2 linked regions of the Oryzias latipes genome follow. Each later gene encodes a partner of the first gene's protein in a complex. Links are inferred from orthologs where the notes say so. Each region holds a gene or a part of one and is shown on either strand. Other genes may lie near its edges.

Region 1 (2,573 bases):
TTTTGAATGTACTTATCAAAAATGAGTCCTTAAACCCATTAAATGTAATATATTTAATGGTCTTCATTTATAAACTTGTCTACTGAACAACCTTGTTTGCCAAATGTCTATACCTATACATTAAACTGTTCCGTTTATATTACTTAAACCACATAATTTGTAATAGAAGTAGGAACTAACCATTACCAAAGCTGTGGTCACACAACAGATGGGCTGACATTGATGGACAGATCCTCAGAAGTATAATTCAGAGTGAATTTAAGATGGTTTGGGTTAGAATAAAGTTCATGCCAGTATGACAGAAATAGGCATTCATTCTGTTAGAAGTGGCTTTAAAAGGTAGTAAAAAGTTTTTAGAATCCCTCATTTTTATAAAAACGTATTTTCTAAAAAGTTGCAAATATTTTCAATTTAAAAGTAGCGTTTCATTCAACCAAATCTTAAAGAATATTTCAAGCTTTTCCACCCGGTAGAGTTGGCAATGTGTGTATGTTAAGTTTACTATAGTCATATTTTACTTTTTCTGCCCAAATTTATCAAAGTTCATGTCTCTGATATTTTTTTCTTCTTATTTCTGCAAACAGGAAGCGCTCAAGCTTGCATTTCTGTACACAGAATTAGGCCTGGATCGTCCACTGCTCTCACGCAAAAGGAAAAGATAGCCACGATGTCAAGAACCAGTTGGCTATAAAAACCAAACATCTGTCATTACAGCCAGAACAAGACATAATCCAACAAAAATCGGTGACAAGCCTGTTGAAAAACAGATGACATCGGTAGCAAATGCTTGTGCAACTTTATTCTTCACTGTATTCCAGGGAACATGAATTTTTGAACTACTGGTATTTGAATCAAGTTTGAGAATAACTGACGACAGCTGTTCATTTATTTTAGCATTTATAAAGAATCCCAACGGTGTCCAGGTAGCAGGCTTTCTCAGAGACATAGCATTCTGTGGCATGACTGGGATGAAAGCGAGTGTAGGTGGAGTATCGAATCACCAAACCCTCTCCGGCTTCTGTCTGGATGCCAGACTTCTGAAAGACTTTTCCATTGTTGATGGAGTTGGTGCTCATCAGTACCTTCAGCTGGTCCGGCAGCTCACGAACAGAGGACAAATCTGTTGTGGCAGATTGTTTACCAAAGTTAAGCACCATAAGGTAAGCCTCTTTGTGACCGTCGAGCTCTCGAAGGTACGAGAAGATGTTTGCATCAGCTTGAACGTAGCAGAACCAGCCTCGCAAAAAGGGAAGCTCTGCCTGCCGCAGGCTGTTCAGAAAGTTATACTGAAACATTGTGGATCCTTCACTGTCCTTTTGGACCTGGATGGAAAGGATTGGAAAGCAGATGTGATCAACAGAAGGCAAATTTAAGCCCGTTCAGGTCAGATGTTTGTTTTGTTCTTAAAAAGCTCCTCACCTCCACATTGACACTTTTGTAATCTGGGTGTACAGGAAGCCACGTGATGTTGGTTAAGTTATTGAAGCCTGTATTCATGTCACTGTTCCACTGCATGGGAGAGCGCTGAGGGTCCCGACTATTGCTCTGCACAGAAAGCACAGTAAACATTTGGCACCCACTCACATAGTCCTTTTCTATATTTTTAATAAAAGCAATCCAAAAGACTGGAGACTTTTGTTTTGTTTAATACTAGCAAAATACTGACCAGGTTATATTTGCCAAAGGGGTCCTGAACCTGGTCTGCTGTGATGTTGATGTTCTCCATGCCGATCTCTTCTCCATAGTAGGTGGTGGGGGTGCCAGGAAGGGTCAGCAGCAGCATGTTGATGACGCGCACATACATCTTACCAGCACTGGAAGCAATTCGGCTCCTGTCATGGTTTCCCACCTGTGTGAGGTTGAGGGAAATACAGGCAGCAGCTAATGAAGCAGGAATAGGAAATCAAAATGAATAGGAATAGTAAATCAGCTGGAAAGCCATTGAAATGTTGGTGCGACTCACCACCCAGTTGGGCCATTTTCCTCTGGGCATGTTGGACATCCAAAGGTCAACTAGATGTTTAGCCCACAAACCGCTGGCGTTTTGAGGCAAGTCCAGCAAGTAGAAGTTAAAGGGGAAGTCACTTTCTTTGACCAGGGGGGTCCCGTAGTACATCATGGTCTTCTCCACCTCTTCATAATCATATGACTCTGTCACCATGAACCTGTGAAACAGAATTACAGCATCAGCGAAAATTTCAACTGTACCTATTTGAAGTGATGGCTGCTGCTGTTTGTAGATTTATCAATTCTACAAAACCTTTTTGAATCAATCATCCATCATCTTAAAACAAAAACAAAAAAACAGCATCTCCAAACCCATCCTCACATTCAGTATGAATAGGATGCTTTGATTTATAACAATAAAATTATAATTTTCAGGAATGCACAATACATGCATCTTTACTTATTTTTATAGGACAATGCATTGCTAGAAAATGAAAATATTCAATAATTATTGACTGAAATTCTGGTAGTTCTTTAATGATAACATTGTAAAGATACAAATTTGCTTGACCAAAGTCCTTTCAGTTAAAGGTTTATTACATTACAGAAAGTTTATTACATTTAAA
Region 2 (3,833 bases), on another chromosome or scaffold:
GTGTTGTTTTTCTTTGCAATTGTAATGTGGAGAACATACAGAAATTTAATCAGGCTTTTAGCCAAATTTTGTTTATTTGCGCATGCAGAGTTGTATTTGTAATTGTTATTAGCACCAAAATTATTTCTTTTTCACTTTATGAAAAAGTAGATAAATATTTTTACATTATCAGATGCAACACCTGAAACCCCCAGTACACTTGCGGAGCACATTTTACTCCTAAGGTCTTGTCCAACAGATCAGATTGGAATTCAATTATTTTGAAGGCTACAAAAAGCACATCATGACTTTAAAAACATATAAATGATTACTGGAAACTGCAAGCTAACCCCACATATGGCCAGAACAAACTACTTTGCTCCTCCAACGATACATTTCCTATGTAGAAATACATGAGGATGCTGCCCATTCAAATGGGTAATTGACTGAAATATAGTGAACTGCCAGCGTGTGGGGATTTGGGAAGGTTGGGGGTTTTAGACATTTTAAACAAAAATGTAATGTGTGCTCACAAATGTGTATGTTGGGGTAAAAAGTGTTTTTTCGCTCAATGATTGTAATTATAAGATTTAAAAAAAAAATCTTGGTATAATTGTACAAAAATAAGAACTTGGTCAACAATAAAAGTTCACCGCAATACTTAGTAAGGTAATCCTGGTTATCAATTAGGTCTGACGTTTCCTGTAGGTCTTTACCAGGTTTGCACAAAGTGCACCTGCTGCCTTGGTCCAGTCTTCCATGAAGCTGATGTTTTGGGGCAACACAGACTTTCAACTCCCTCCACAGATTCTTTACTGGATTTAGGTCCAGAAACTGGCCAGGCCTCTCAAGTACCTTGGGAAGCTTTTTTTTTGTAGCCGCTCCTTTATTGTCTGTTATGTTTGGGATCATTGTAATTTTGGAACCAGGGCACGTTTCATCCTCAATGGGCTCACCAATGGAAGGTGATTTTTGCCCCACATCTTAGCATTCATGGACGCATTCCTCATTTCCTTAAAATGCATCAGTCATCTGGTTCCCTTAGAAGAAAGGCAGCTCCAAAGCATGATGTTTCCACCTCCATGTTTCACCGTGGATGTGGTGTTCTTGAAATGGAACTCAGGTCTCATCTGACCACACGACATTCACCCATTCCTCCTCTGGATCATTCAGATGGTCTTTGGGAAACCTTGAATGGGCCTGGACATGTTCGTGTCTTTGCAGGGGGATCTTAAGAGTACAGCAGGATTTTAATCCATGAAAATTTAGCGTGTTACTCCTTTATTACATGGTCTTTATTATCAGTTCCTCCCTTGTAGTTCTGAGATCTTTCCTTACCTTCATAGAATAATTTGTACCCCACCAGGTGAGAGGTTGCATGGAGCCCCAGGTAGGAGGAAGCTGCCAATGATTTTTGTAGTTGATTTCGTCTCACCAAGTTGCTTCCTTATTGTAGATTTGTTCCGCCTAGTTCTGTTCAGTTGTACAATCTTAGTGTCCTTGGACAGATCTTTGGTTACTGATAGCCAGTTTGAATATTAATATAAAAATATGTATCGCCTGCACCTTTGTATAGATAAATTCTTTTAAAACATACAATGTGATTTTCTCGATTCTTTTTTTACATTCTGTCTCTCACAGTTAGTTTCTATATGATAAACATTACAGACCTTTTTTCATTTTTTGTCGAACAACTCATAGATCAGCAAGTATTTTTTGCCCCACTACTTTAGTAGATATAGTGTTGCAACATATATCTGGTCATCATACTCAGTGTGATGGTGTTTGGTTTAAAAATACTCTAGATTCTCATTTGTTATGCTGCATCAATGTTACTTAACCAGGTGAAATTGATAAAGCCCATCCAGCACATGACAATAATTTATATCACAGTTTTTTAAAACATAAACCTTTCTAGTTGTTAAACCCAATAAAACACACACACACACAGACGGCGGTAATCATCATCTGTCACGCAAAGAACTTCATCTGGATTTATACTTTTGATTTATTCCATTGCAAAACTGAGCCGCTCAAGTTGCTGCACCAATTACTGATCATAAAGTTGTAAATGAAGTTAAAAAAAGAGTTTCATTTATGCAAGATGTAGTAAATGGTTTATCACTAAATCAAGATTGCACAAAGATAAATATCATGTCAAGACACTGCTCAACTTGGTGGAATGCAGGCCCTTCAAACTTTGTGCGCTGATAGTTCTTGTACACTTATGGAGACTAATCCAGGCCATAAAGATTTGAAAGCCAAATAAAGCAATTTCTTTGGTTTTATTTGGGTGTTGATCTGGGTGTTATTGGTGTCTGAATCTTCCTTCAGTTCTACTACAAGCTTAGTTAAGTCTATTGTGGCCACTTTGTTCACAATGACCATTTCAATAGTAAGTATTTTATTATTCTGTCCGTAATTATCCAAGTTTCCATTGTTAGTGAATGCACCGTGCCGAAAGCTTCCAGCCTCATCATTCTGATTAGTCCTTCATCTAAGCCCCGCCTCCACACGCCAGAAAGGGGACAAAAGTTAAAAACCTTTAGATTGAAGAAAGAAAGAAAAAAAATTTTAAAGTGAAAAAAAAAAAATGTTGAAACTGAAACCTAAAAACAGAAAATTTGAAGCTGAAAATATTGAAGTTTTTGCAGATAGTTTCAGACACTTTTTCAGATTTACACCAATATTTCAGCTTGAATTTTTCAAGTTATTTTATACTATTTTATACTATTTATGGGTTTCAGATCTTTTATTTCCCCGATTTGGCTCCATAGACCCTCCCTGCCTTCATCTAATTTGATCTTGACGTTGGAAAATGATTGCAATAGTAGACTTGTAGACATGTAGACTAAGATGAAGTCATTCAATGTACACTAAGTGTTCAAACATACAGCTTCTTGCAGTGATGACAACTGAACATATTTCTTCTTGTTCTGTGTTTTTTTTAACCTTGCCTTGCGAGTGCTCAGGTTGGCCTGCTGAGTGGGATTTGTCTAATTGTTGGAACCATGATTGGCTCAGGGATTTTCATTTCTCCCAAGTCTGTTTTGCTCTATTCTGGATCTGTGGGACCTTGCCTCCTCATCTGGACAGCCTGTGGAGTGTTATCCACTTTAGGTGAGACTGACTTTGTTCCAGAAATATTTATGATTTCAAGTGCTGTTTATACATTTAACTTTTAGTTTTCTCTTTAAAAATCCTAGTACCTAGATGTGTATATAAAGCAAGAAGTTCCAGTTTTTCATAACTTGCCTGTTCATGGGGTAATCTATCACCAATTATCCAGAGATCAAGAAATGTCTGAAGGAAATTTAGAAAACCCAACTTTTTAGGCATTTTTCCCCTAATACCATTTATTTATTAACATGCAATTGTTTTTTTTAGTCAATGTTTTGTTGGGTCACAGCTGGCCTTGCACTTCTAAAAGTAGGTAGAATGGCTGTGGGGAATCTCAGTAACTTTTGCTGCTGTCCCATGTTATGACACCACAAGATGATTAGCTGTGACCGAGGTCAAAGATGAGACACCAATCCAGAGCGAAAGAAAAAAAGAACACATGAAGAAACCAGATCTTCTCTTTTCTGTCCTATCTAAAGCTGAATGAGTCAATGTGGTGACTTGGGCGGCTCACATGAAATACTTCATAATTTCATATATAATCTTTTTTTTCATGTGACAATTGATCATAACTTTTATTACCACATGAATTTAATTTTCTCTTCTTTTGCACAATTTATTTTTTCCATAGTTCCAGTATTCTTAGAAACTCTAAGATCACACACACACATTTAGACCATCTTTGTTTTTGCAAGTTTATTTCTGAAAGAACTGCAGTTGGTAGTCAAAGTTTA

The links.
Region 2: the proteins of slc3a1 (region 1) and slc7a9 are in contact, whole or in part, in a cryo-EM structure (PDB 6LID), measured with the Homo sapiens proteins. The link is inferred for Oryzias latipes from reciprocal best matches to the Homo sapiens genes SLC3A1 and SLC7A9. Residues at the interface, in NP_000332.2 of Homo sapiens: Pro64, Tyr65, Ala66, Gly67, Met68, Pro69, Lys70, Leu73, Phe74, Phe76, Ser77, Tyr82, Pro85, Arg86, Phe90, Thr93, Val97, Leu100, Ile101, Ala103, Thr104, Ile107, Ile108, Ser111, Cys114, His201, Asp202, Thr373, Glu374, Pro375; in NP_001119807.1 of Homo sapiens: Cys137, Phe140, Tyr141, Val142, Gly143, Cys144, Pro147, Ile149, Val150, Cys153, Leu154, Ala156, Ala157, Leu160, Phe161, Thr164, Leu168, Thr279, Thr281, Asp295, Arg296, Tyr299, Tyr343, Val346, Arg347, Lys467, Thr470, Met471, His472, Gln474.

What each region holds. Positions count from the first base shown.
Region 1 is NC_019873.2:16,356,053-16,358,625, forward strand, and holds the end of slc3a1 (neutral and basic amino acid transport protein rBAT), read right to left. Parts: intron 2,166-2,573; coding exon 1,964-2,165; intron 1,850-1,963; coding exon 1,667-1,849; intron 1,546-1,666; coding exon 1,420-1,545; intron 1,323-1,419; coding exon 891-1,322; 3' UTR 781-890; downstream 1-780. Other genes in the region: prepl (prolyl endopeptidase-like), read left to right, coding at 585-662. UniProt on the Homo sapiens protein: Acts as a chaperone that facilitates biogenesis and trafficking of functional transporter heteromers to the plasma membrane.
Region 2 is NC_019861.2:25,752,141-25,755,973, forward strand, and holds part of slc7a9 (B(0,+)-type amino acid transporter 1), read left to right. Parts: intron 1-2,951; coding exon 2,952-3,099; intron 3,100-3,833. UniProt on the Homo sapiens protein: Associates with SLC3A1 to form a functional transporter complex that mediates the electrogenic exchange between cationic amino acids and neutral amino acids, with a stoichiometry of 1:1.